4 linked regions of the Notamacropus eugenii genome follow. The main gene of each other region encodes a partner of the protein of the gene in region 2 in a complex. Links are inferred from orthologs where the notes say so. Each region holds a gene or a part of one and is shown on either strand. Other genes may lie near its edges.

Region 1 (7,303 bases), on a different chromosome or scaffold from region 2:
ATGGCAAGGTGAGATATAGCATGGCACAACGTAGAGGGGCTTACATCCTGCCTTTGACACATACAAGTTGTGTGACCATGGATGGGTAAGTAACTTTTCAGCTCAGTGGGCCAAGGTAACTAACATAATACATTATATCCTAAGGGCTTACTCCCCCAGAAAAAAAACCAATCACAGTTTCTGCCCTCAAGGAGTTCCTGGGGAAGGAGAGGGAAGATATTGTGACATGTACATAGATAAGTAGAATCCAGGATAATGGACTAAAAGGGAAAAGTTACAGGCAAAATGAGCTTAACAATATTTGAGAACACTTTGTTGAGGGATTGAGGGAAGATGTCATTGGAAAAAGTTGCCCACGAGGTGAAGTTTTGAGTGGTGTAGGTGAAGAAGGAGTTTTAGTTTAGACACAGGGATCAGTTTGTGTGGAAATGTGAGAGGAGGAGAACACATTGCTCACCCTCAGAATCCAATGGATTATTTCAAATTCTATTATTAGTAGAATCTTGAATGACCTGAAATAGATCCATAAGCCTCCTTTAATTCCCCTTCAATACTCAGTTACTTTGGTAGAACAGACGTAGACAAAAATACATCACAGAGCAAAACGGTTATAGAAAAATAAGTTGTATGACTTTGGAGGAATGATGTCAGAACATAGGTGGTGGCCCATAGGTGTGGAGTGAGACATATGTTTTGGGGGCCTTGGTCATTTTGTGCATTTGTTATACCTGAATTTACTTATTTCTTACAAGGAATTGTTCTATAGGGGAGGTATTAGGAACTTACATTAGAGTAAAAAGGAGAATTATATAAATAAAACATGTTTTAAAAGAAAATTCCTTTAACCTTATCAATTTCACTAAAAGTCAGCAGTCAATGTTTACATTTCCCTAGTGATCATTTTTAAATAGATTCTCATTTGAATTTATATGGTGACTAAGATGACACTTTCAATTTATACAATCCAGCTTCAAAACTGAAGCACAAAAGTCTGCTATGCTGCAGTGATCTGACCTGATCCAATCCTGTGTTTGTCTTGAGTGCTGAGCCTGCTTAGAGACCCATAGTCCTCCTGGGAATTATGAATTCCAATGCTTTTTCCTAATTGTAGCACTGCAAAGTCTCAAGGGTGGCTGCATTCCTAAGGTCTGCAAAATGATCTCTGGAAAGTGTGCATGCTGCCTTTTAAGATGGGGATGAAGGGTTTCCTCTTTTGGATAAGGTTATTAAGAATGCACAGAGCTGGGACAAAGCATCTGCATCCTTGGGTGAGGTTTAAAATGGGGGGGGGGGTGTTGGAAGAGCATTAAAATTTGAGATTCCTGTAGGGTGTTCTGTACCAGAAGTTTGTTTATTTCAATTCAATCCGACAAGTGTTTTTAAGCACCTACTATGTATCAGTAACTGTCTTAGGCACTGAAAATTGAGAAGCAATATGTTTAATAGCCTTTGGCATCAACGAACTTGCAATCTGCTTTGCGGGGGGGAGGGAAATCAAACAGAATCACACAATTAAGTAAATATAAACTATACATAAAACCATACTTGAAGAACATCTTATAGAATTGAAGTTCCTTGTGATCAGGAACTATTCCATTTTTCTCTTTGTATCCCAACAATTAGCATTGCAGCTGGGACAAAATTGGAAAGTAATAAATGTTGTTTGATCAACTGGGCAAATGTAAGGGGGGAGGGGTAGATTGGAGAGGAGAGAGACTGGATGCAGGGACACCAGTTAAGAGGTTGGTATGTGTACATCCTTCGTTGTCGAAGATGACCATGACTTGCGCTTGACTTTGTTTTGAGTGAGGGAGAGCTGTGCAGGTCACCAGCCTCACTTCTCCTCCACAACCATCTGAATCCAGTGACCTCATCAGGATGACTGGAGATGACCCAGGATGAGGCAGATAGGGTTAAGTGACTTGCCTAAGGTCACACACAGCTAGTGAGTGTCAAGTGTCTGAGGTGAGATTTGAACTCAGGTGCTTCTGACTCCTGCACTGGTGCTCTATCCACTGCACCACCTAGCTGCCCTAATTAAGAGGTCATTGCAGTAACAAAGCATGAGCTGATGAGAGACTGAATTACGGCAGAGACTAGGTGAGTAGAGAACATGGGATAGGTGAGAAAAGATGTTATGGAGACAGAATGGACAAGACTTGACAACTGATTGGGTACGGGGTGTAAATAGCAGTACAGAGTAAAAGGTTGACTCCAAGCCTGAGAGACTATAAGGATGATGGTGCCCTCTACAGAAACAATTAAGTTAGGAAGATGGGTTGATTTGGGGGTGGGGGGAAGCAAATGAATTCTGTTACAGACCTGTTTCATTGTAATCCCCAGATTTCACTTTACCACAAGTTTTGTGACACAGAGTTTTCCTATGAATAGAATTTCTTCCAGGGGCAGGAACACCTGAGTGCCAGAAGGCAGGGCAACCAGGGTCAGGAGGGAAACTGTTGCCAAGCACCTTCTGGCTTCTGTTTTCTCACCTACTCTTTGGGCCAAAGGCACAACACCTGAAGTGGGGGAGGTTTCTGGGCATGGGGCCACTTAACTTGCTACTTTCCACTACTCCAGTTAGCAATTAGGCAAGAGAAAACAGAGCCGCCTACTTAGTAAATGAGTATGGAAACTATTGGTCATCAGCCCATGAGCTTTAGATCTAGAAGGATCCTCAGTGATCATAGAGTTAGACCCCTTCATTTTCCAGAAACTTCCCAGTTTCCAGAGGAAACTGAAGTCTTACATGAGCATCATATTTGAGTGGAGAAGTCAACGGATTGGAAGTCTCAGAAGATCTGGTGGATCAGATGCCAGCCCTGCTCCTTATGATCTGGGTGACCTCAGACAAGGCATGTGATCTCTCTAGGCTGAACAAATGCTCTCTAGAGTCCTTTCTTCATAATTCTAGGTCCTGTGACCCTACAGAAAGTACTTTCGGGAGGAATTTAGGAAGCAGGCCTGTAGTACTTGAAGAGGACCCCTAGGGGAAGATGTGGAGAGGAGTGAAGAAGATGAGAAGTCCTGGGCCACTTGGGGTCCTCATTATGGAAAGGAGTTTCCAAAGTAATTAGGAGAGAGAGGGGGAAAAGGGGAGAGGGAGAGAGAGAGGGAAAGGGAGAGGGAGAGGGAAAGAGAGAAAGAGAGAGAGAGACAGAGACAGAGACAGAGAGAGACAGAGACAGAGAGACAGAGACAGAGAGAGACAGAGAGAAGAGAGAGACAGAGACAGAGACAGAGAGACAGAGACAGAGACAGAGACAGACAGAGAGACAGAGACAGAGAGACAGAGACAGAGAGGGACAGAGAGACAAAGACAGACAGAGAGACAGAGAGAGACAGAGAGTGAGAATGAGGGGGAGGAGCAAAAGGAAAGAAAATGTAAGGATGCCAGCCCGAGCCCCCTGCCTCCAACTCCCCTCCCCTTCCATTTCACCAGACTGTGCAGATGGGGATACTGATAACTTTTTTCCTTTACCTGTTCCAAGGGGTCCCAAACATTCTAAATGCTTTTGGTGAGGGTAGTCAATTCAGAGGCAGGGGGACCAGTTAACTTTGCAAGAACAAGCCTATACAACGGATACCCTTCGAAAGAAGAACATTTGCAGGGAATGAGGGTGGGGCATGCAGAGGTTCCAGCCTGGCCATAGTTGGACGGTGGCAGTGAAAGGGCTTGGGGGGCAGGCTGCATTCACCACTTCCCCATTTTTCTCTACAGACTCCAGGTCTGGAAAGGTCAATGGATCTGTCTACCTCTCGATCTATGTCTGGTATCTCTCTGTGTGTAGGTCTTTAAACTCTGTTCTCTCGGGTCGCTGTGGACCCAGGCTACACTGAAGTGGGGCGAAAGCTGAGCCACCACTTAATGATGGGTGAGAACCCGGTACTACCTGGAGTGGAGTGGCTGAGGCCAGCTGGGGGAGGGGATGGCCGCGGGGGAAGAACCAGGAAGAGGGCCACACTCCTATGCTACTGACACCCGCCTGCCTAGGACCCTCAGAGCTGGGGAGCAGGGGCGCATGGTGTGATCGGAGGATGCAGGAGAGCGTTGACAGCTATGGGGATCCCCCCACAGTGGGGGAGCAGCTCCTGGTCAGTGAGTACATCGGGATCAGCGGGCGGTCTGCCGGACCAGCTAGGCGTGGAGGCGAGCTCTGTGAACCGCTGCTGCTCAAGCTGGAGAAACGAGAGGGAGGCTCGGGAAGCTGATGGGGCTGGGAGGGGGTGGGGGGAGATGCTGCTGAAGTTGCGATGTGGACCGAGTTCAGCCACTCAGACCCTGGGGTAACGGGGAGGGGGGAGCAAGGGAGAGAAAACACATTCACATCCAGACGCACTGGGCTGAGCAAAACAAAGAAAGAGTGTGGGCCGGTGACTTCATGCTTTACCAATGTCCCGCCCACGCGCCCGCGGCCGCCGCGGCCCCAGCCCAGATCTGCGTGAAACCCGCGCTGGTCTCTTAGCAACCGGCCAGCCGCTGAAGTTGCCAGGTCCCAGGCAGTCCCAGGCTGCCCCGGGGCCCCGACGGGACGATCTGGGCCTAGCCAGGACCCCCTCCTGCGCAGCAGCCCCCTCCCCCAGATCCCCGCTGCTGGGAGCTGCCCCCCGCTCCGGCTGCGCTCTAGGCCCCTGGACTCTGGGGGCTGCAGCGCCTGGACAGCGGCGAGAGCCTCTGCTTAGTTCTCTCTTCCTCTCTGGAGGGGGAGGGGGGGAGGAGAAGGAGGAGGGGAGCCCATCCCCCTCTTACCTCTTCCCCCCGGGACGTACCCGGGGCCCCTCTAGTCCCACCACACCCCCCGCGCCCGCCCCCTTCACCTAGTCTCCAAAGCAGCCTCCGCTGCCCGACTGCCTAAAAACTCGACGGCGCCGCTGCTTGTGCGCCGGGACTGGAGCGGGTCCCGCGCGCGACTTCTGCCACCCGGGAAGTGACACCGATTCCGTGTCTCCTCTGCTCAGCGCCAACCCAAGAGGGGCTGATCTTTGGGGCCGTCCATTGCCTCCCTCCACCAGGGCCCAGAGGCTGAGGTGAGCAGGAGCTGGGCGCCCCAGGAGTACAGGTACGGCGGGGCTGCCCACCTGTGGCTCGGCTGATCTGCCCACCTGTGGCTCGGCTGATCTGCCCACCTGTGGCTGGGAGCCTCTTCTTCCCAGCCTGGGACTGTCGGTTCTCTGCGCCGGGCTGAGATCTCTCGGCCCGGCGCCTCTCCCCCCAGCCCCCGCCTCTCCCCCTGGGCGCTTTGTTTGGGGCCAGCTCCCGGCGGAGCTGATTTATGCCGCAGCAGCTCCGTCGGGGGCGGCCTCGGGCAGAGGCTGGGAACAAAAGCCCTTTGTCCCGGGCCGACCGAGCGGGGGCTGGGGCGCGGGCAGCTGAGCCGGCCCCCGTGCGCTGGCTCCGAGGCTCGCTCTGAATGAAGCGGGACCGCCCGCCGCTGCCCTTCTCCACAGCCGCCGCCGCGGGGCCCCAGCCGGGCTGAGTCCGCCACCCCTCTCCGCCCCCGCCTCCGCCTCGCCTCGCCTTCGCGCTCGGTCCAAGCTCTCGAGCCTATTGTGCGAAGCGCCCGGATTCCTGCGGTCGTTCTGACATGCTGTGCCCCGCTCGGGCCCTGGCCCTGCTCCTGCTCCCTGCCAAGAGGGCGCCCCGAGGCACCGACCCCTGCCAGGGGCGGGAAGAAACGTGGGACTAAAACTTGGCCCCGAAGGACTTCCCCGCCGGGCTACCCCGGACCGAGGCGGGAGACGAGCCCCAGAGCCTGAAGACAGCCTCCAGGAGGAGCCGCCCGCCGGGCGCTGTGAGCGATGTGGGGCTCGGCCTTGGCTCTCTGGACTGCTGCCGGCATGGTATGCCTGCAAAAGGGCCGCCGAGCCCCGGGGCCCGTGCTCGGGGCCGCCTGCCTCTTCTCCATGGCTTTCGGACTAGGACAGAGCGGCGGTAAGTGGTCTGCCTTTGTGGGCGGAGTGGCAGGGGTCTCGGGCGCGGGGGGCACACTGCCTGCCAGTCAGCTGGCACTGCAGCCAGATAAAGAGAAGAAAGCGCTGGCTTTATCAGGAGAGAGGCTCCGGCACCTGGACTGACTCAGGCCAGGTTTCAGCTAGTGGCTAGCTGCGGAGCTGGCAGGTCTGCGCGTTTCACAGTTGCCCCCCAGGAGGTCCCCGAAGCAGGTGCCTCCGGCTGGGCCAGGTGGATCACGTTCCCTTCGCTCAGGGCCAGGGATTAGGGACAGCACAGTGAGAAAGCCTGGAACTGGAGAGCCTGGAATCCAGCTTCTGTTTACTAAGAGACTAAAACAAAGTTAGACATTCCAGTGCCTCCTTGGAGAAGGACACTCTACAGTCTATGTTCCCAGTCCTCATTTACTGACCCGGAGACCAAGGACTGACTATTCGATCGGATGTGGGGGCAGTGAGGCAGATTTCCTTGGTCCTACATCCATACACGGAGAGGGCCAGTTAGCCCAACCTATTCATTTTACAGATGGCGAAACTGAGGCTCGGCGAGGTTAAATGCTTTACCCAAGGTCACACCGGCAATCGTAAGTGGAAAAATAGGAATGAATCCATGTACTTTGACTCCAAATCCAGTATTCTTTCCACTCCAGTGCTCTGCCTTTTAACTGAGAACTGTCACTTAAACATTATAGCTACCATAATAAACACATTACTGCAAATCCCCGTGAGGGAGGAAGAGGGGAACAGCACTGGCTCTGAAATCTGAGGGCTTGGCTTTCAATCATGCCTCTGGCATTTATTTGACTTGGGCCAGTCACTTATAACTCCATGGGTTCCAGCTTGCTCCCCTGGAAAAGGAAGGGGCTCCTAGGTGACTTCCAAAGTCCCATCCACCTTTAGAACCATGATCAATGATCTATCCCTCCTACCCCCTGCCACTCTCATTCAGGTAGTAGCACCAAGTGGTCCTTAGCCCCATGGAATACTAGGGTACATACTACACGGCCTAGCCTCTTTGTGCAAAAGACCTTTGCCTGGAGCCCCCCAATCCTATAAGCTAGAGAGCACACAGATATTAATATCCTATTTTACAGAGGAAGAAACTGAGGCCCAGATAAGTAAGGTGAGTTGTTTCAGAGCTAGGATTCAGAGCTTTGGGACCTCCCTGACTCCCTCACCATTCACTCTGGCTTCCTCTCTTAAGTCCTGATATCAGGACCTGAAGGATCTCTTGGTTTGAAAACAGTTAAGTTCGTCTCACTTATACTCTTAACTTTGCCAGGGTCTACGTTTTTTGAATTTTGATGTTCACCTTTACGTCAGCCCTAGGAACACCTTCCTTTGACCTCCCAAG
Region 2 (7,656 bases):
TGACTGACTGTATGGGTGCCTCCTCTGGACCTGCTGGTTTTCTCCCTAAATCTGCTTTTGTTCTGTTCTGTTTCTTACACAATCACACTGGTTTAATTTTGGCCAAAAGTCTGTAAAGCAGCAGGGAGAAGACTAGACCGGGAAGTCAGAGGGTCTAAGTTGGCATTGTGGCTTTTAAGCCATTGGTGAACTCCCATAACTTCTTGTTCGTTAGTTTCTTCATCTCAGAAAGGAGAGGTCTGAGCTAGACCTCTCCTGTTCCTTCCAGCTCTGGATTTAGGGTCCTACAAAGTCCTTATTTTATTTAGGGACTGTTACTCTTCCTTATGAAGGCCGCTACATGACTCTGTGGATAGAACCATGGGTCTGAAGTCAGGAAGACCTGAGTTCAAATGTGACCTCAGACCCTCTTTAACTGTGTGACCCTGGGCAAGTCACTTCAGCTCTGTTTGCCTTAATCCACTGGAGAAGCAAACAGCAAACCACTCCAGAATCTGCGAAGAAAATCCCATGGACGGTATTGGGATCATGAAAACTTGGGCACAACTGAAGAACAACTGTTCCATATCCCACCTTCTACATTTTTAATTATTATGCCTCTGAACTCTAATGTCTTCCTCTGTTAGGATTTCCTATTATCCCTGTATAGAACTTGTTTGCTGGTGTGTTTGTTATCTCTACCATTAGATTGTGAGCTCCTTGAGCTCTCTTTTGCTTCTTTTTGTGACTTCAGATTAGCATACTGCCTGGTGCATAGTAGGTACTTAATGAATATTGATTGATTGCTATTAATAATTCTCTCTCTCCCTCCTTCTCTCTTCTTCTCTGCTCTCCTTCTCCTTCTTTCTTCTTCTTCCTCTCTCTCTCTCTCCTCTTCCCTCCCTTCCACCACCCTTTAATAACATGCCTATTTTTTCCCTTCAGCATCAGTTTTACAACAAACAACACTTCTCGTCTGTCCCCTCCTTCCTCTAGCCTCTAGTCCCTTCCCCACCCACTCCCTAGGATTGGGGATACAGTAATGCAGGTGCCACCTAGCACTGGAAATTCCAGACCCCTAGGGAAGCATCAGCCTCTAGAAGGTGCCATGCATGCCCTGAGAGATCCTAGGAGGGGAGAGGCATCCTTTATGTCCAGAGCCTCAATCTGAGAAACTCCAGCCACATTGGAAGAGAGATGCAGCCACAGAAAGCGGGAGTAAGAAAATTTTAGCCAGCATTTACCCATGAGCAGCGGCCACAGCTTCCTCAGCTTGGCACAAGGAAGACTGAATCAGGCCTTCCTTTGCTTTAACAGTTTGTGATCTTTAAATGGAGACAAAATCCTCCCCAGGGCATGAATATATCCTTCTTTGAAGGCATTTTCAGTTACTCTGCTGGTTCTATTTAGTCCCCCCCACCAAAGGCCTCTCTGAATCATCAGTCTACAGGCAAATCTGGCCCCTCAGCCTCACTGATTTTCACCATTTCCCCTTTAGAAATTTCCAAGTCTGTCTGACTCCCTCCGACCAGTTTGCCAGGGACCATGAGGACACCTGCTGGTAGGATGGGCAAACAGAGGTCTTCCCACAAGTCCCTCACATCTGTGCCCGAGCTGTCAGTTTATTTCTTGACATCTGCCAAATTTCCTTCCCTTGTATTGGGATTTTTAAATTCCCTTTCTGTTAACACACATGACTTCCACACATGTACATACACACAGAGGCATCAAAAATACGGATGATCCCCGGTTTTTCTAGCACACTGACAATAAACACACACACACACACACCACACACACACACACACACACACACCCATCTGCCCATCTCACCCACATCCAGGTCTGCTGTACCATTATACACATAAAAAGCCCAAAGCATCTCACTGACATATACAGTAAAACACAGGCCTGCTCTCCCTCACCAGACAAGCCTAAAAGATACCCATTTCTCGCCCATCAATCTTCCTCTCCTCTCTCTTCTGGTGGGTGTGTGTTCCACAGATAGTGTGAACATTTGAAGTCAGTCACTCCCTAGGAGGGAGTGGGAAGCAAGTGGAGAGTTGGATGGGAGCTTATAGAGGGCACACAGATGAACATATATGTACTCACCCCCATAAATCCAGCACATGAAACATGCTTACTGCAGTGTGCTAGGGAAAGCTATCATCTTTGAAAAGGGTTTGGTTTTTTTTTTAACCAACCTTATTCCATAACAAACATCATTTCCCCCAAAGAATGATTGGAAAAACTAAGAGAGAGACGTGTCACAATGAGCTCTAGAAAACCAGGGAAAAGATCCAGGTCTCCAGACTTGCAGAGCCGTGCTTTCTCCTCTGGCTCACTCTGCCTTTTTTTTTTTTTAATACAGCACACATGCTTGCGGTTACCCGTATCACCATATAGATGTGAGCACGCATATACCGCAGGCAGTGCAGTGCCCCCCCCCCCCCCATGAATAACTGTCAAGGATTTTAACTGGATGGGTTCTACCCTTGGCATGAGGCGGCTGGGTTTCGGGGAGAAGCAATGAACACAGCCCAGAATCGTCTTGGTTCCCTCCCAGCTCCTCCTGAGCCTTAGGTGCTCAGAAAACCGAAGCCCTGGACTCTCTCTATCAAGTCTCTGCTCAAGTTGGGACCCTCCCAAGGTGACACCCAACCGAGAGCTGGGACTTACTGTGCTCTGCAAGCCCCTGGATCATGTCGAACTTATGGATTTCTTTGGCATAGTATTCCGACTCAGTGTTTTCCTGAGCGCAGCTTTCCTCCTTCTCCTCCTGCATCTCCTCCAGCATCTCCCGGGTGCTGTTATATAGGGCTAGGATGTGGTAGGGCACATGGGCCAGCGTTGATGCCTCGGGGGGGCTGGTGAGCCGCAACTTGCTTAAGATCTGTCCCCTAATGGCTTCCACTCTCTTTTTCTTGATGTGACCAAAATCCAAGGTGGTACAAGTGGAGAGAGACAGACTGACTGTGGCAAAGTTCAGGAGTGAAAGGACCACCAGAGCCCTTTGCAAGTGCATCTTCATGTGCGAAACAGGGGAAGGGGGACCAGGGGAGCAGCTGGGCCTGGCAAAGGAGACCAGGAGCCGTGCAGAAGGAGTTAGAAAAACCAGGCAGAGCTTTCGATGCAGCCTCCCCAGATCCCAAAGCCTGAGGCTTGGCAAGAGGGTGCATGAACTCACTGCACTGCAGTGAGATTCAGGACTTCCAGGAAGCGTTGGCAAAGCTTAGGAAGAAGCAGGCTCTGTGCCTTGCAAGGTTGGGATCCTTCTCCATGTGTCTGCACAGGCTCCGCTGGGCTGGGATTCCAGGCAAACCAGGTAAAGAGCACCAAGTAGGGGGAGAGAGGGGGTAAGGAAGGCTTGGGGTGGGGAGTGGGGGGGAGGTTTGGAGGGGGAAATGGGGAGAATGGGGGCGTTTTCCTTAGGTAGAAAAAATAATAATAAATAGAACTGCTATCTAAGATCCCAAAATATTACTTTGACAACGAGGGACAAAGTCGATGTTTTGAAGAGAGACTAAGAACAGTGTTTAGTTTCCAAATTCAGTATCCGTGGGGAGCCCAGAATAAGAAGGAAGAGAGGAAGAAAATCAGATCCCCAGAAAGGAGGGGCCGGTGACAGGGCTGGGCCGGGCCGGGCCAGCGTCCCCGGCTGGGGACAGAGGGAAGCGCTGGGCACACTTGTCTTTCAGACACACCATTCATACTTTCCCCTTGGTTTACATTTCCTCGAGGGCTTTTGAAATTATTTTTGTCACTCGCTGCCTCTCGTCTTCATTGGCTGCTGATCTGGGATTACGTGTAACCAGAAGGACTAGGCACCTGGTTTCTGCCTTCCTTCCAGTTTGGCCCCAGTAATCCACTTGGACGCCCAGGGTCACCAGGACCTTAGCTTCTCTTCTCCCTTGGTCATTGCTTCTTTCACTGCTTCACTTTAAAAAAAAGAAAAAGAAAAAACCATAAAAATAAAATAAAACAAGGCAGTTCACTGTACTCCTCCTTCTTGAATGTTATTCCTTCTTTCTCATTTTCTTCTCCTACCTCTTGCTTTTTGCTGGCTGCTACGTCCCTGCTGCCTCTGATCTCTCCTCTCTCTCTCTCCTCTCTCTCTCCTCTCTCCTCTCTCTCTTTCTCCTCTCTCTCTCTCTCTCTCTCTCTCTCTCTCTCTCTCTCTTCTCCTTTCCTCTCCCCTCCTCTCTCCCTCTTCCTCTCCCTCTCCTTCTCTCTCTCACACACACATACACACACACTGCTTTCTCTATTTCTCTCTGCTGAAATTTTATACCTCCCTCCCATGACGTCTTTGGCTGGGGATGGGGGGAGGGAGTGACTAGCAAGCTCAGCCTCATATTCAGCACAATTTTAATGTTTTAAACAGGCACAGGAAAAGCAGATCCCATTTGAAAATACTTTGCAAATCCTCTCATTCTACGTGGTACTGGGCTTTCTTCCCTGTTTCCTGGAGTCTCTTTTTTTAGGGCAGTTTTCTAATACACCTCCTTTGGAAAGTTACCCTGGTCAACTCTCCTCTTTCCTTGGGGCTCCTTCCACTCTTCCTTTCACCCTCTCCCCTAGCTGTCAATTCTTCCTTTAAAAAAACCCAACTGTAACCCAAGGGGCCCCTCCTCTGCCAGGTCGGGAGGGGCAGTCCCAACCCTGCCTGGAGGAAGGACTTTGGGGAATCGTGTGTGCTAGCTGTTTGCAGGAGTGGCTGTGCCAAGCCTCGCTTGTCGAGGTGATTCAGTTCTTCTTAACGGGATTCTGCTCTGCTCCTCAGAGATCCTGGCACCATTTTTTCATTGACAAGATCTGGGGAGTGAGAGGGCTTTGTGGGGCTTGGAGGTGCTCCAGAGGAGCAGAAAGAGGGTGGGTTTATCAAAAGATCAACCCTGCCCCCTGGTGGTCAGATTCTGACACCGACTGAGAGTTTAAGACCAAAGTTTTACCGGATTTTTCTTTTCTTTTTGATCTGAAACAATTTGAAAAGCAGGGCCCGATAAAGGGAACATGGGGGATAAAGGACTGAGAGCGGATGCAGGGGTAGACACTGTGTAGGTGTCCAACACATATATCAAATTGCCTTCTTTCTTTTTTTTTGAGATATGTCCAAGGTTAACGACCCAGGTTGTCCAATTCCCATTAAATCTCTTTATATTAACTACTTCTTGTAACCTCCCAAGAGGGACCACTGGGGATAAAGAAAGGGGGAAGGGGACAAAGGGGGTATCATGGGTCAGGTTTTTTCATTAGAATTGTAGAACATCCAAAGAGCTGTATTCCAAGTGAGCCAGCTTTGCCCCCACATTAACCCATCATAGCTGCCGGTGCCAGGATCAATAGTTAGGATTCTGCCCTAGAAACTATCTTGTCCTTTTTAGGAGGAATAAACTAAGACTCAGAGAGGGAACTGTGTGAGGTCACACAAGTGGCTATTTATTAGAATCCTGCTCTCCCCCCTCCTTGTTTTCCATTATTTTATTCTGTTTTTCTGGAAAGGAAAGAGAAGGGGGTGGGGTATGGAGGTCGGCACTCAAATCCTAGAATACCCTAGTCATCCCTGGCTCAGCCTCTGCCTCTTGGGTAAGGTCACAAATCAGGAGGGAAGACTCCTCAGGATGGGGGCTACTTTCTGCTGGCTCCCAGAGTCTTTGTGACTGGCACCTGTGGCTAGGGGTCATCAGAAATATCAGGCCCTCCATTCAGATTCACTGGGGTTTTCTTCCTTTAAGGTAGGCCAGGGGATAGAATTCCCTGGGACTTAGTACAGTAAGTGAGGGCAAATCCAGAGGAGGGGGTCAAGGAATAACTTTAGAGGGGACACTTCTTACAATGAGTCCAGAGCTGACAGGCTAAGAACTTACCCTTCCCTGCCCCCCCCTACCCCCCCACATACACATACATAAGGAAGCCAGTAACACAGCTGTGGGCCTGTGAGCCTATGAGAGGACCTAGGAACTTCCATCCCTGGGGCTGGGGATAAGTCTGAATTTCCCTGCTGATTCCCAGGAACCATGGGAACCATTGGCTTTGCTGGGATTCCATATTGAATCATGGCCACAGAAGTATGTATTTAGCCATGGCAGGGACCTTCAAAGCCATATAGTCTCATCTTACAGTTGAGGAAACTGAGGCCCAGAGGTGTGACTTCCTCATGTTCACACATGAATGAGAGAGTCAGGATCTGAACCAAATATCTCTTTTCCATACATGATGCTGCCTCCCTTAATTTTTTTTCCTGGAGATAAGTGGGCCACTGCCTTCTCTTTCTCAACAAATTTATGTTGAAATCAGGTTCACATTGTGTCTAGTTTTTCAAACAGTAGAGTTGGTGGTGAGTGGCAGGGCAGGGATGTGGGGAGAGGTCATAGCAAATGGGAGGCAGATTTTATCCCCACCACCTGTGGTTGGAGGAGGGATGGGCAGAAATTAAACCCTAGGAGTGACCTGGATTCTCATCCGAGTCCCACTTTGGTGTTGAGTTTCCTGTGCGGCATTCCCTGGTTTCCTCCCATCTAGGTCTTAGTCTTACAAAGAATGGGGCAGGGTGGGTAGAACCTGCACAGGAAACCTGGATCTGACTCCAGTTCTGAACATAAACCAGAACTGCAGAAAGGTTTCTGAGGCATAAAACCGTGCCCTGGTCTTTCTCATCTTTCTTGGATATCTGGCTGTCAAGGGCAACCACAGGTCCAAGGGAGAGGTCATCTGGTCAATGAGAAGGTGACCAAGGAGGGAATGAGTGAGAGATATAGCCCTGGGCTTCAATAACTGAATGTGGTAACTCTCCCTGGGCAGGGCAAGGGTGGGATGTGGATGGCTTGATCTGGAGTTCTGTCCTGGGACAGGGGAGAAGAGAGAGATGTGTGTGTGTGTGTGTGTGTGTGTGTGTGTGTGTGTGTGTGTGTGTGTATGTCTGTCTGTCTGTCTGTGTCGCCATGTATGACTGTCTCTACTTCTGTCCAGTGTCTGTTTCAGTGTATGTCTATCTGTGTGTCTGTCACTCTTAGTATGTGTCTCTCTCTTTCTCTGAAAAGAGACTCAGTTTGTGTCCATATCTGTCCCTGTGTATGTGTCTATATCTATAGGTATACGTGCCCCCAGGGGCCAGCCTGCCCTGGTGGTCTGAGTCAGGACGTAGGGGGTCTCTGAGTAGATGGACACCTTTTTGAAAAGGTACACAGCAAGCTCAAACAAGTGCTCCTTGAACTTGTGGGTGTAAAAGCTGGTGTTGTAGACAATGATGAAGATGACCCAGAACAGAATGATTTCACCTGGCACCCTCATGGCAATGCCCACCTTCATAGCAGTGCCTAGTTTGGTGCAGATTTGTTCATGGTCCTTGCTCTCCCAGGCCGACATACTCATGCTGACCTCATCCTGGCTGTTGCTCATCTACTGTACTGGACAGTGCACTCCTGGAGTTCCATCCTTCCAAGAAGGGAGTGAGAGACCTTAATTAGGATTGCAGGTCAAGGTCTGTGAGTCTGCTACCCTGGTAGATGAAGCCCCCCAATGGAACATTATGTTCTTCTAGGTCTTATGAGAGGGTCTTGGGTGCAGAGGTGCTGCCCCATCTCTTACCTGCAGCTCCCCACCAGTTAACACCCTAGCCCACCAGCTCTGGGCCAAGATACGTCTTGGATGAAGATTTCTTCTGTTTCTGTCTGGCCT
Region 3 (7,075 bases), on a different chromosome or scaffold from region 2:
AAAATGGACACAGCAATGAGCTATCTGAGTCTACAATAGGCTAGCTGTAAACAAAATAAGTCTCAAATAGTTCAGTATTTCAGATTCCAACTAACCATTCTTCATCCTCTGCCATCCTTCCCTCATTTATAAAGAGGAACCACACTGACCTTAACTTTCCCCATCAACAGAAATAACTAAGAAATTAATTAAATAACTCTTTTATCACTTCATAAGTCAGGTAGGGGCAGTTAGGTGGTGCTGTGCTGAGACCTGGAGGTAAGAAAACCTGAGTTCAAACACTTATACCAGTGTGACCCTGGGCAAGTCACTTCACCTCAGTTTCCTTATCTGTAGAAATGAATTGGAGAGGGAAACAGCAAACCACTCCAATATCTTTGCCAAGAAAACTCCAGATGGGGTCATGAAGAGTCAGACACTGACTGAATGATAATATATCTGGAAGGAAGGGACAGGAGGAGGCTACCTAAGACCCTCCAAGGCAGACACAACTGAAAACCAACTGAATACCAATAAGTCAGGTGCAGTTCTGGGGGAAGAAAAGGACAAGTTTTAACAAACTAGCAAAGTTCCAAGAATGGCATGTAGCATTTAATAAGTCCCAGAACAGATGAATGAGAGGACCTAGGGATTTAATTGACGCTGTGCTTATATTTCTTTGAATAAAAATAGTTCTCTTGAAACTTCATGTTCAATAATAGGAAAAAACCCCATCTCAGATATTCTGTTTAGTAACGGGCAGTAGCTGGGTCCAGTTCTCTAGTCGCTTTGCCAATACCCAGTGGCAACTAGGTTTCAGGGGTTCTGCACCCTATAACACAGAGCAGGTATTAAAGGGGGGCTGCAATAAAAAGTCCCTCAACATTTTGTGCCTTAGCAAATTGTCTTGCATAAAGGTCATGCTTAGTAAATGGATATTCACTAGATGCATGAACATTTGGGAACTTGGAGATCACGGGGTCATGGTTTGAACTGAAAACGGCTCTTAGAGCCCATCTAGTCCAACCTACCTGTTCTACTGAGAAACTGAGGACCTAGAGAGGATTAGTGACTTGCTCGGGATCATACAAGTTGAGGTGGGATTTGAACCGAGGCTCTATGATTTCTGGGATAGTTAGGTGGTGCAGTGAATGAAGTCTTTAAAGCCTGGAGTCTTTAAAACCTGACCTCCCTGAGTTCAAAATCTGGCCTCTGACAGTTATTAGCTGTGAGACACTGGGCAAGTCACTTCATCCTACTTGCCTCAGTTTCCTTATCTGCAAAAATGAGCTGGAGAAGGAAATGGCAAACCCCTCCAGTATCTTTGCCAAGAAAACCCCAAATGGGGCCATGATGAGTTAGACACCCCACTGAACAATAAAATGCAAGGAAGGGAGGGGGTATTACCTAGCTCTAGACATCCACCCAGTCTAAGGTGGAGCCTGGAAATCATTCTTTCTTCCAGGGTTCAGAGCCCCTGGGGGCCCACCTCAAGCCAGCAAAGAAAGAATTAGTTCACTTTCTGAAATGAAAGGCAAGGCAGTAGCCTGGGGACAAGAGAAAGTGTGAGAGATCCTAGCCAGGTTCTCCCGCCTCAGGGCCTTCCCCAACTAGGCCCAACTCATGTGTTTACCTGTAGCGTCCCGGCCTTAAAGAGTAAGGTCCGAGTGGGCAGTACTGGCTAAACTATGCCTTTACAAACAAGGAGCAAACACAGCCTCAGCCCTCCAAGAGCTCACAAACTAATGCTGGCCTCGGTGGGGAGGGGAAAGAGACCACATGCAAACAATTGCACGTACCAGATTTATACTGGGTAATAGAAACAGTCACATCGGTCCGCTGGGCTCAGGGAGTACACTATATTTCTGACTCGATCTGGGGCTTTTACGTACACTATTCTACAAACTGTCTTGCTCGTTAGATAGTGCGCTCCTTGAGGGCAGTGATCGTATTCAGCGAACAGCTCAGTGTCTGCCACATAGCAGGCGCCTGATGAATGTTTGCTGCTTTACTTCCACGGTAAGAACTTAATAAATGTTGATGATGGGGTTGGAAAGGGGAGCCGGGGCATCTGCACCCCGATGATTTCGAGATCGGCGTGTTATACACCTTCAGGAGTCAGGAGGGGCTGGTCCCAGATCCCAGAGTGCGCGGAACCGAGGCTGACACGGCCAGGTGTGCCCCGCGCAGGCTGGGCAGGGGGCCTAGGACTGGGCTGTTGCGCTCACGGCGCGGTGCCCGCCTAGAGAGAAAGTCAGGCCCGGCGGCAGACTGAACAAACTTCCTCGCCAAGTTCCGTCGGCGGAGCTGGGCTCCGCGCAGCCCCAGGGGCTCCTCCGATGGCCGGCCAGCCCGGCCCGGCCCCGGGACAAACTGCCCCAATTTCCGCCCGCGGCAGCTCGGCTTGTCAAGCACTGCCCCTCTCCCCCCGAGGCGGGCACCGTCCGGGGGCCCCGCCGAACTCACCCATCTTCTGGACGTAGGGAGGGATGGTGCTGGCGATGCGCGTCCACAGGAAGAGGAGCAGTAGCCCCGGGCTCCGCAGGAGAGCCCGACTCATGGCCGAGCCCGCTCCGCCTCCGCATAGAGCGGGAGCCGGGCAGCAGCCGGGGAGGGCGAGGAGGAAGAGGAGAAGGAGCAAAGGGGTGGAGGAGGGGGAGCCCACTGGACTGGCCGGGCCGCCTCTGCTCCGCTCGTCCCGCTTGGCCCCTGGTGCGCCTGAGCTCCGGCTCTCCCTCCCTGGGCAGATGTGCAGGCCAGATGTGGCGTCCGGGCCACGGGCCGGGCTGGGGGCCCCAGAGGCTGGCCGCGGGGCTCTGCTCTTCTGCAGCGGCTCGGCTCGCCCTGTATGGATGTGTGTGTGTGTGAGTGTGTGTGTAGCTGTGTGTGGGGGTATGCGTGCGTGTGACTCACTCAACTTCTCGAGCCTGGGCTGGAGGGGAAACAGGAAATCTTCGCAAACAGCTGGGCAGGACCTCTCTCCGCTGCAGAAGCCGCAGCACTCTTAGCAGTTCCTTCTGGCTCCCCTCGGCTCTAAGTCCTCACTTGCCCGGGCGTCAATCACTCTCCAGGCCAACCCTTCAGCTTCCCCACCCCCTTCCCCCCTCTCACCCCCTCCTACCCACCCACCACACCCACTCTGCTCACCAGCCTGCACGCTCTCAAACTTTCAGGCCTTTGACGATTTTAGCGAAAGAGGTTGACCTTGGAAAGGGTCTAAATTCCAAGAACAAAACTTCAGCAGGGCCCCTGGCACGCAGCTCCAGTGGGAATCTAGGATCCTAGGGACTGTAGAACTGGCAGGGGACCTTGAAGTCCATAGGCCAGGGCTTCTTATCCTGGGGTCCATGAACTTATTTTTCTTTAGTATATTCTGATCAAGTTTATTTTGGTAAAAATTGGTTTCCTTTATAATCCGAAGTATTTTATACACTTAAAAACGATTCAGAGAACGGATCCATAACATAAAAGGGTTAAAATAAACCACCCTTGAACTGACCCAAATCCCCCAATTTCCTTCATTTTGCAACAGGGGCTGCAGGAGAAGTGAGGTACCCGAAGTTTCCAAGGCATTAATTGGGAAAGTCAAAGCTCTGCCTCCAGTTCCCGGCTTTTGTCTCACCGTGCCAGCTCTTCCAGCCCTTCCCTAAATGCCATTGGCTTTCCTGAAGTGTCTTTGACAACTGCAGGGCTACCGTGACTGATGCCTGGAAAAGAGGCCTTACCCTGCTCAAACCACAAACATTTATGAAGAACCCAGTTGTGTGATGGACATCACAGATACAAAGGCTGAGTTCAACAGTCCCTGCCTTCTCGTGGTCATTTCAGATCATACAGGGTGTCCTAAAGGCCTTCCTGCAGTTGGAAGCTAAAGTCTTATTGAGGAAGGGTGCAACAACCCGGTAGACTTGGAGCTGGTTTCTCTGTCTCCGCTGTCTCCCCTTTCCCAGTCATCCTCCACAAAGCTGCCAGATAGGTATTCCAAAAGCACAGCTCTGACCCTGTCACTCCCTTGCTCAGTGAATTTCGGTTGCTCTCTCTTACTTTTGGTGTCAAATGTAAATTCTTCAGCTTGGCATTTAAAGCCTTTCTCCACAAAGTTGCAAACTACCTTTTAAGCTTGATTGTATATAGTACTGCCCTTACTACATCCTACAGCATACTTACTATTGTTCACTTCCCATCTACATGCCTCTTTACAGGCTGTCTTCCAAGTCTGGAAGGCGCTCTCTTTTCACCTCTGCCTCTTGTAATACCTCGTTTCCATCTGTGTTCAGCTCACATGCTACCTTCCTTTTTCTTGAACCTTCTTTTTATTTTTAAGTTACGACATTCATTTCCACAAAACTTTGAGTTCCAATTTTTCTCCCCATCTCTCCCCTCTCCCCCACCCCATAACACCTTGCATTCTGATTACTCCTTCCCTCAATGTGCCCTCCCTTCTATCACACCTAGCTGGGGGCAGCTAGGTGATGCAGTGGATACAGCACCAGTGCAGGAGTCAAGAGAACCTGAGTTCTAATCTCCCCTCAGACACTTGACACTCACTAGCTGTGTCACCTTGGGCAAGTCATTTAACCCCAACTGCCACATCCTGGGTCATCTCCAATCATCCTGATGAATATCTGGTCATTGGATTCAGATGGCTCTGGAGGAGAAGTGAGGCTGGTGACCTGCATAGCCCTCCCTCACTTAAAACAAAGTCAAGTGCAAGTCATGTCATTATTTCTCTGATGGCATGGTCTTCTTTGGCAATGAAGGACAAGCATACGCTATCACACCCCACCCTTCCCTTATCCCCATCTTCTCTCTTTTCTTGTAGGGCAAGATAGATTTCTATACCCCATTACCTGTATTTCTTATTTCTCATTTATATGCAATAACAATTCTCAACATTTGTTTCTAATATTTTGAATTCCAACTTCTCTCCTTTCCTCCCTCCCCACTCATCCCCACTGAGAAGGCAAGCAATTGAATGCAGGCTATATATGTTTTGCAAAAGACTTCCATAATAGTCATGCTGTGCAACACTAACTGTATTTCCCTCCATCCTACCCTGTCCCCCCTTTATTCTATTCTCTCCTTTGACCTTGTCCCTTCCCAAAAGTATTTGCTTCTAGTTACTCCCTTCTCCCATTTGCCCTCCCTTCTATCATCCCCCTCACCCCACTTGTCTCCTTCTCTCCTACTTTCCTGTAGTGTAATATAGATTTTCATTCTAAATTTAGTGAACATGTTATTCCCTCCTTAAACCATATGTGAAGAGAATAAGCTTCACTTTTCCCCTCTCACCTCCTCCCTTTTCTCCTCCATTGAAAAAGATTTTTCTTATCTCTTTTATGAGTGATAACTTGCCTCATTCCATTTCTCCCTTTCTCCTCCCAATATATTCCTCTCTCACCCCTTAATTTTATTTTTTTATAGATATCATCCCTTCTGATTCAACTCAACCTGTGCTGTATGTGTGTGTGTGTGTGTGTGTATAAAATCCCTCTACCTACCCAAATACTGAGAAAAGTCTCAAGAGATCCTTTATGATTTCTCTTTGCTGTTTGCCCTTTCATGGATCTCTTGATTCTTGTGTTTGAAAGTCAAATTTTCTCTTCAGTTGTGGTCTATTCATCAAGAGCTCTTAAAGTCCTCTATATCATTGAGTGACCATTTATTTTTTCCCTTGAAATATTATACTCAGTTTTGCTGGGTAGGTGATTCTTGGTTTTAATTCCAATTCCTTTGACTTCTGGAAAATACTATTCCAAGTCCTTCAATCCCTTAATGTAGAAGCTGCCAGATCCTGTGTTATCCTGATTGTATTTCTACAATATTTGAATTGTTTCTTTCTAGCTGCTTGCAATATTTTCTCCTTCACCTGGGAACTCTGGAATTTGGCTACAATATTCCTAGGAGTTTCTCTTTTTGGATCTCTTTCAGGAGGTGATCAGTGGATTCTTTAAATATTTATTTTGCCCTCTGGTTCTACAATATCAGGGCAGTTTTCTGTGATAATTTCATGAAAGATAATGTCTAGGCTCTTTTTTTGATCATGGCTTTCAGGTAGTCCCATAATTTTTAAATTGTCTCTCCTAGATCTATTTTCCAGGTCAGTTGTTTTTCCAATGAAATATTTCACATTATCTTCTATTTTTTCATTCTTTTGGTTTTGTTTTGTAGTTTCTTGGTTTATCATAAAGTCATTAGAGTCCCTCAGCTCCACTCTAATTTTTAAAGAACTGTTTTCTTCAGTGAGCTTTTGAACCTCCTTTTCCGTTTGACTGATTCTGCTTTTTAAAGCATTCTTCTCTTCATTGGCTGTTTGGACCTCTTTTTCCAAATGAGTTAGCCTATTTTTAAAAGTGTTATTTTCTTCAGCATTTTTTTTGGGGGGGGTCTCCTTTAGCAAGCTGTCAATTTGCTTTTCAAACTCTTCCGTGGCCTGAGCCTATTGCATATTCAATATTGCATATTGCATTTTGGAGGTACTGGATGCAGAAGCCTTGACTTCCTCTGACAGTATGCATTGTGCTTCTTCATCTGAAAGGATTGAAGGAAATACCTATTCACTAGGAAAGTAACCTTCTATGGTCTTATTTCCCCCCCCCCCCTTTTTGGACATTTTCCCAGCCAGTTACTTGACTTCTGAATCCTTTGTCAAGAGGAGGGTCCTGGTCCTCCTCCTTACCCCAGGACCATGCTCAAGGCTGAGTTTCAGATCAGCTACTCAATTCCCCCAGGGGCTTTAGACAGCGTGCTTCACAGATGGATGCAGTAGCTGCCACCATCACTGCTGCCATCGCCACTGCTACTGCTGCCCCTGCCTGGGGCCAATGCTGGAGGGGACCCTGCTCTCCTCTTGCCCAGTTGGGAAAGCCCTTTCATTGATCTTTGAAGCTTTCTTTGACATTTGTGGGTTGAGGGATCTGAGACCCTCCCTGCTAGGAATTCTGCCCCAGAGGCCTGTTCTGGTCCTGTTCCTCCTGGTGCTGCATGGTCAGGGCTAGGCCCCGCTCTGCTCAGAGTCCTGTGCAATAGACCTTTCCTGTCAGCCTTCCAGGTTATCTTTGGATGGAAATCTCTTTCACTTTGTTGCTCTGTGGCT
Region 4 (6,993 bases), on a different chromosome or scaffold from region 2:
CCTTTAAGGCTGCAACATTGAACTTCCTATGCCTATAATGAGATTCCTTGATAAATGTAACTACAGAGATGATTTTTGTTCAATGACGTTTTCATTATTAATACATGTGGCATAATAAATTGGAGATGTATATTGCCAAAGGTGCTTGCCATTGTCATGGGGACTATCTTGTAGGGAGTCCAAAGACAAGGAAGATTTCCTGTAGATAATGAGGCCCTCCAAGTGTTCTTATTTGAAGATGATATTGGGTTAATTATATCAAGCCTCAGATTTCTATATGGCCTCCTAAAGAATATCAGGATAAAAGATGGCTAGTTTAACTCTCCATGTAGGAAAGAACATGAGTTAAAAATTCATTTCAACAAACACCTATTAAGCACCTACTATGTGTGAAGTACTCTACTAGATATTGGGGATATAAAGTTAAAAATTAAATACTTCTTGCCCCCAAGCAGTTTATATTCTACTTGGTTGGTTCAATGTGGGTCTGGATAATGATGTATGTATCATTTGTGTGTGCATATGTATATGTGCATGCACACACTGACACAGACACTCAGACACACATGTGGGGAAGTAAGCACTATAGGGGAAAATGCCTGTTGTCTACTGTGGACCATAATATGCAGTTAGGTGTGTAGTCTATAAAAATATTCTATTAGTATATATATATACACATACATATGTATGTATGTATCTTGGAAAGACATCACAGATGAACAATGTTCCCCTTCCAAGAACACAGAAGAATCATGGAAGATTAAATGGTATAAATTGGTTACATAGTTGGAAGTATTCCTATCAATCAGAAGAAATATTGAAATATTTCCAAAGCGATAACCTATATAGTAATCAAAGATAGTTCAAAACTACTTACATGTAATATACATAGATTACATAGGAAAACAATTACCTTGAATTACAGTGTACAGTTTAAAACTGCACTAAGATATTGGGAACATCCTGCATAGTTTTAATTTTTTAAAAAAAGTTCAGTGACCCCATTAACAACTCCTGCTCTAGATATTTCATTAATTATCCTAGTTTGCCTAAGACTCATATTCCTGAGGTGAAAAATAGCAGACTTCCTTTAGCTGTAGGATTTTACTTTCACTTCCAAGAAATGTTTGATTACCCTTTACTTACAACTTGTGTTAGGAAAAGGCCATTTGCCCTTCCAAGCATCTTGCTCCTCACCTCCTTCCTCTCTCTTAGTGACTAAACAGGGAAACAGAAAGATGTGACATACAAAGACATCCATATTTTCATAATAGCTCAAGACTGAGATCTGAGGTGGTGGTATCATAGAATCAGTGGATTTGATATATTTTCCAAAATATCATCCTAGAATAGCTGACATAAAATGCATTTCATGAAAATTGACTTGAGAATTTGAGGATTATTATTGTCTTTAGTCAATAAACGTCTATTAAGCACACATATTAAGCGCCAGACACTATCTTCAGTTCTGGAGATATATAAACAAAAAATAAGACAGTCACTATCGAGGAAGCCAATTCACAAAAGGAAGCTGAAAAGGGGAAGGGGCGTCTGGGACCCACTCGGAAACCAAGTTGGGCAACTGATGGAAAATAAATATTTGAAAAGTTCTGAGTTGACTGCTTAGCTTTCCAGCCCCTAGCTCCAAACTAAGGGGAGAGGCAACTCAGGAAACAGAAGAGGTGTTGGATTATCAAGATTATCAAAAACTGAGTCAGTCCACATGACGATGAGATTTCAGGTGAGGAATTTATTCTGGGGGAAGGAATGAAGTTCCTGGAGTTGAAACCAAGCAAAACAGTTGATTCTAAATAAGACTAGTAAGATGGAAGCCCTTATGGAGCCTGGAGAGATACAATTAGTCAGTGTCTATCGGAGACTTTCTGAGGGAGAGAAACACTGTATCTAGTCCACAAACACATTCTAATCATTAGAAAAAAAGCTAGATCAGCAATTAGAAACTTTTGAGAGTGAGACATCAAGTCGCCGAACCCCTAAGAAAGGAGATGGTTAGGAGCAGAAGTGTTGACTGCTTTCCTTTCTGTAAGCAGACGGCACGCAAAGGTCTCTAAATAGAGGTGGGGAGGAGTGGGGGGGATTGTGTCTCAGGCTTTTGTTGTGTCAGACTCACAGTGACCCTACTTGGGGTGTTCATGACATAGATACTGGATTGGTTTACCATTTTCCTCTCCAACCCATTTTTCAGATGAGAAAACTAGGGCAAACAGGGGTAAATGACTTTCCCAACGTCACACCGCTAATAAGCGTCTGAGGTCACATCTGAGCTCAGGTTCTCCTGACTCCAGGTCAGGCGATCTATTCACTGCTGCCCTGTGTCGCAGGCACCAGTGAGTTAATTCATTTATCTTAACAATTTAAACTCCTTAAATACAAGCCACTCTGGGGAGGATTAAAAGCTATATTCATTTGCATCAGCCCTAATCACTATTACTCCCACTCTTACTAGGCTTTTAAAGTCTCCAGATTTAAAGGTTTTCTTAACCACTTTTATTAATACATTATCGCCCAAACACATTTTAAGGGAATCCATAAATGAGGACAAGTTCCTTATCCAAGTCAAAAAGTCAAATCAATAAGCGTTTATAAAGCTCACCTACTTTGTGCCAGGCACTAAGGGTACAAAGTCAAAAACTCCTGATCCTCAAGGAGCTCGTAGTCTAATGGGAGAGACAACAAGTAAACAACTATGAATATATGTGTGTATATATATATATATATATATATATATATATATATACATATATATATGTAAACAGCATAAAGTGGAGATAATCACTGAGGAGAGGTATTAGGGGGAACTGGGAAAGGCTTGTTGCAGAAGGTGGGATTTTAGCAGTGACTTGAAGGAAGCCAGGAGACTGAGGCAAGGAGAGATCATTAAGTTTAAAAAAAAAAAAAAGGATTGAAGCCAAATAAATGGAAAATAGATATTGAAGCTTTCTGTTAAAAAAAAAAGTTTAGCGTTAAAAAACTGCATAGTATTTGTATCGAAAGTAAAAGTATTTTATTGCAGAATCAGAAGTCTGGCTGCTAAATTATTTTGGCACATACTGAAGTGAAGGTGGGAGGAGTGTCTCTCAGCCGAGAAAATCAAGAATGGAAAAGTAGTTCAGCTTATTTTCGTCTTGAAGGAAACCAAAGATTCCCCAAAGAGGCACGCTGGATACCCGTGGTACTGCAAACACCGCAGGTTTTAAACATTAGCCACTTGTGGTTGCAGAACGGGCTGCCTCGTCTCGGCGGCGAGAGTTCCCTCTACCCCTTCCGAGTTTCTCCCGAGTTTATTTGACTTCATGAAAGGGGCGAGCCAGAGAGGCAAGGGCTCTTGAGTCCCGGGGGGTCTCGGCGATCGTGCGTGCGGTGTAGACCGCCTTTCCCCCATCCCGCCGCTGGAGTGGTTAGAAAACGGGGCGGCCCCATTCCGGCCTGCTCGGCTCTCCGGGCTCAGTTAGTAAGAGTGGTGAAGCGCAGACGGCCCCGAGGTCACGTCTCCGAGGGCTTCGGGGGAAGGGGGGCCGTCGGAGGAGGAATGGGGAGTGGGGACGGAAGAGGGCCCGGAGCTGGCGGCAGCTCCGGAGTGGCCCAGGGCGATAACGGTCCCCTGGGAAGGGGGTGCGGCCGCCCCGGTCCCCGTGCACCGAGCGGAGAGAGGCCCCCAGTCCTGAAGTACTTCCCCTCCGCGGGCACAACATGCTGGGGCCCCTTGGGCGCCCCCCAGCTCTAGGGACCCCAGAGCCCCTGGCTTCGGCGGCCGCTTCCTCTTCCAGTGCACGGCTCACTGCTCACCCCCCCCCCCCCCCACTTCTTGCACCATCCGAAACCTCCGGCGTGGGGGGACGCGGGGTGAGGGGGTGGGGCTGAGGAGGGGGCGGGGGAGTCCTGGGAGCCTGGGAAGGAGGCGGGGTGGGAGGGGTGAGCCTGTGGAGGGACTGGGAAGGAGGCGGGGGCCCGGCCGTTCCCGGCGCCCTCCGGCCCCGGATTGGCTGCGGCCCTGCGGGCCGGGCTCTCGCCTCTCTTGTTGTTCTCCCGTCTCGGCAGCTGCCGGGAGGCGGGGCCGGGACGTCCCTCGCAGCCAATGGGAGGGCCCCCCCCGAGCAGTTACAAAGGGGCCGAACGAGGCCGCGGCGCGAGGCGAGGCTCTCTGGTTCCTCGGGGCGGGGGCACCGAGACGCGGCCCCGGCCCCTCGAAAGGACCCGACGCGGACTACGACGCGGGACCATGGAGGCGGCCGCGGCGGCGGCCGTCGCGGGGAAGACGACCGTTCCCCCCCGCTACCAGATGTTTCTCCTCCTGGCGGCCGCGGGGCTGGTCCCAGGGGCGACGGGTGAGCCGCAGGAGGGGGGAGGGGCCGGGGCGGCGGCGGAGGCGGACGGGGGCGCTGGGGCCGCGGCCCCTTTCTCCAACATGGCGCGGGCCCCGGGGGCGCCGGGGGTGGTCGGGCGGCTTGCGGGAGACGGAGGAGGGCTCCTCCCGGGGCTCCGCCGCCGCCTCGGCCAGACAGACCGCAGACGGAGATTGTGAGGAGGCGGGGGGCGGCGGCGGGGAGCCCGGGCTCGCGGGGCTGGCCTCTCCGCCCGGGGCCGGGAGGGTGTCTGGCGGGGGGTGTCGCGGACTCCTGACCCCCCCCCCCCAGCCCCGCCGGAGCCTCCGGCCCCTCCTGCCCCGAGTGCGGACCTCCCCTCCCCTATCTTTGTGCTGGCCCCGGGAGCCGGGGGCTAAGTAGGTGTGAAGCGCGGCGGCCGCTTCCCGGGTGCCCGGGGTGGGGGGGAGGGGGTGCGGGCGAATTCCATCACCAGATGACTAAGAATTATTTTCGCCCTAGAAACTTGTCTGAATATTTGCTCGGCGTTTCGAAATGTTTGAATGGGAATGACTTTTTTTTTTTTTTTTTACACATTCATCCAACACGTGTTGGGAGAAGATTTGTTTTTCCTCCTCTTGCTGCTAAATCAGATTTCTAGTGGGAGAGAGATGACTATCACGAGGACGGCGGCAGGGGAGCTGCCGCTCTGGGAGGACCCGGTTTTCTGGGACCCGAGCGAGGGATCGTTTTAGGAGGTGGGGAGGCATACCGACTGGGCAGTGCTTTTTCGTGCACGCACAGAAACGCCCTCAAAAAATAAGTAAAACCACCCAAAAAAAGCCCCTAACCCACCTAAAACCTCCCATCTTTGGAGCTGAAGAGTGACGTTGGTGGAAGGAGCTCCGTCCCTAGCGTTAGGCTAAGCCCTGCAGATACAAAGAAAGGCCAGCCTGGGTCCGTGCCCTGGAGGAGCTCCCTTCCAAACAGATAACGTGAATTACCTAGTGCTTAATCGTCTAATCTGGGCTGGAAGCTCCAGCCCTGGGAGGGATCTGGAAGGCCAGTGGGGAAAGCTGGGTTGGAGATGAGACTGGAGAGTCCAGGAGAGGAGGGAGAACTTTGCAGGTGTGAGGATCGCGTGAGAGGCACCAGTAAGTAGTGGTGTAGCGAGATAGTGTAGAGTTAAGTTGTAGCAACGCTGCAAAGCCAGGCAGCGTTTTCAGCTGCTAGGGAAGGCGTTTTCTATTTGGTCACGTTCCTGTGCTCTGGCTAAGATGCTTCCAAATTGGGCTACCCTGGGCTGGGAGGTAAAGTCTCCTGTGCCTTGGTTTTCTTATCTGTCCGTTGAAGGGATTGGGCAAGATTATCTCTAGGGCCGCTTTCAAGTACTGAGCTCCGATCCTATGAAATTACGTGTGTGTGTGTGTGTGTGTGTGTGTGTGTAATTCTGTTTGTTATTGATTTTCTTTTTATATCTTTTAAGTCACCTTGGAAGCAGTTGACCTAACAGTATTTGATTATTTACTCTGTGGATTTACCTCCACAAATTTTAAAATGTCAAAGCGCTTTTCTGCTTTCCAGTGTTCCGTTTATGGCTGTCAGTAGATGTTAAGGGATTACTATTCTTTTTAAGATGGGCTGCAAAAATGCTTGCTTTCTTTTGATGTGGATACCCTTTCCCCACCCCCAAACTCATCTTTCCTTTTGTGTGATTCTTTTTTGTATGTTTCCATAAACTTCCTATGGAGCTTTTTCCACAACAGCCCTTTCTAGGGTTTTTTTTTTTTTAACCAGTACAGCACTTGGGCTGTCTATCTGTTAATCCTTGCTTTTGCCACATGACTAGGACACCCCTACTCCTCTCCTGGTCCTTTATGTTATGGATGACATATTTTATGAAAGAATTCTACATCTGGCTTATATTTTATATTTCCATTACCTATGGAAGTAATATTTAGAAGACAAATTGCTGGAAAAGTAATAAATGTATTCTAAAGGTAAATATAAATTACTTGTGAATTATCCATACCATTTAACGCGAAAAGTTGATTTTACTGCTTTTTAAATATTAACATTCCAGCTTTGTATTTGGGTAACATTTTTTGAGTGCCTTTTCTGTGTAGAACATTGCATAGACATTCAGAAGTCACAAGTTCTATGTGCTGGACTATGCATAGAAATGAGCAACTTGGAGCTGTGGAAAGGGCATCGATTGGCCTTGGCATCAGATGATACCTGACCTATCACTTCAGGCCAAGTCGTTTAACTGTTAAAAAATGGAAATCATAATTATACTCCCTCCCTTACCAGATTGTTGTGAGGAAAGAGCCTTTAGTATTTTATAAATAACTTCCTATACCTTGGAGGTCCTTTGGAGGGAAGGCACAAACCCAGAAATCAATTACTTAACAAGTATTTGTTAAGCAGCTGCTATAGACCAGGCATTATGCTGGTAATATACCTAAAAAGAACGAAACAATTCTGACGAGAAGTTTATAGTCTAATGGGAGAGACAAGTATGTATATAGATATATACAGTATAAATACAGATATATACAAAGTTGTAAAATACAAGATATTTTAGCAGTTGGAGGAAATAATGAAAGGTTCATGCAAAAGATGATCCTTGAGCTGTGTCTGAAAGTAGGATGGGCAGTGGAAGGAAGGA

Evidence for each region.
Region 1: the proteins of TGFB3 (region 2) and ITGB8 are in contact, whole or in part, in a cryo-EM structure (PDB 8VS6), measured with the Homo sapiens proteins. The link is inferred for Notamacropus eugenii from reciprocal best matches to the Homo sapiens genes TGFB3 and ITGB8. Residues at the interface, in NP_001316868.1 of Homo sapiens: Gly262, Asp263, Leu264, Arg266, Leu267, Lys268; in NP_002205.1 of Homo sapiens: Ser156, Ala157, Ser158, Asn161, Arg206, Gln210, Cys211, Tyr214, Leu216, Ser247, Gly248, Asn249, Ile250, Asp251, Thr252, Glu254.
Region 3: the proteins of TGFB3 (region 2) and TGFBR2 are in contact, whole or in part, in a crystal structure (PDB 9B9F), measured with the Homo sapiens proteins. The link is inferred for Notamacropus eugenii from reciprocal best matches to the Homo sapiens genes TGFB3 and TGFBR2. Residues at the interface, in NP_001316868.1 of Homo sapiens: Arg325, Lys331, Trp332, His334, Tyr390, Tyr391, Val392, Gly393, Arg394; in NP_003233.4 of Homo sapiens: Leu50, Phe53, Asp55, Ser72, Ile73, Thr74, Ser75, Ile76, Glu78, Val100, Asp141, Glu142.
Region 4: the proteins of TGFB3 (region 2) and TGFBR1 are in contact, whole or in part, in a crystal structure (PDB 9B9F), measured with the Homo sapiens proteins. The link is inferred for Notamacropus eugenii from reciprocal best matches to the Homo sapiens genes TGFB3 and TGFBR1. Residues at the interface, in NP_001316868.1 of Homo sapiens: Ala301, Leu302, Asp303, Asn305, Tyr306, Tyr350, Leu351, Ser353, Thr357, Thr360, Leu364, Leu368; in NP_004603.1 of Homo sapiens: His39, Leu40, Thr42, Lys43, Phe55, Met70, Ile78, Phe84, Val85, Lys91.

What each region holds. Positions count from the first base shown.
Region 1 is NC_092874.1:12,854,806-12,862,108, forward strand, and holds the start of ITGB8 (integrin beta-8), read left to right. Parts: upstream 1-4,299; 5' UTR 4,300-5,799; coding exon 5,800-5,932; intron 5,933-5,947; exon of another isoform or gene 5,948-6,475; coding exon of another isoform or gene 6,476-6,533; exon of another isoform or gene 6,534-7,303. UniProt on the Homo sapiens protein: Integrin alpha-V:beta-8 (ITGAV:ITGB8) is a receptor for fibronectin. It recognizes the sequence R-G-D in its ligands.
Region 2 is NC_092878.1:59,219,871-59,227,526, forward strand, and holds the start of TGFB3 (transforming growth factor beta-3 proprotein), read right to left. Parts: upstream 3,011-7,656; coding exon 2,659-3,010; intron 1-2,658. UniProt on the Homo sapiens protein: Transforming growth factor beta-3 proprotein: Precursor of the Latency-associated peptide (LAP) and Transforming growth factor beta-3 (TGF-beta-3) chains, which constitute the regulatory and active subunit of TGF-beta-3, respectively.
Region 3 is NC_092874.1:24,448,987-24,456,061, forward strand, and holds the start of TGFBR2 (TGF-beta receptor type-2), read right to left. Parts: upstream 3,018-7,075; 5' UTR 2,540-3,017; coding exon 2,446-2,539; intron 1,999-2,445; exon of another isoform or gene 1,808-1,998; intron 1-1,807. UniProt on the Homo sapiens protein: Transmembrane serine/threonine kinase forming with the TGF-beta type I serine/threonine kinase receptor, TGFBR1, the non-promiscuous receptor for the TGF-beta cytokines TGFB1, TGFB2 and TGFB3.
Region 4 is NC_092872.1:65,598,497-65,605,489, reverse strand, and holds the start of TGFBR1 (TGF-beta receptor type-1), read left to right. Parts: upstream 1-3,982; 5' UTR 3,983-4,096; coding exon 4,097-4,346; intron 4,347-6,993. UniProt on the Homo sapiens protein: Transmembrane serine/threonine kinase forming with the TGF-beta type II serine/threonine kinase receptor, TGFBR2, the non-promiscuous receptor for the TGF-beta cytokines TGFB1, TGFB2 and TGFB3.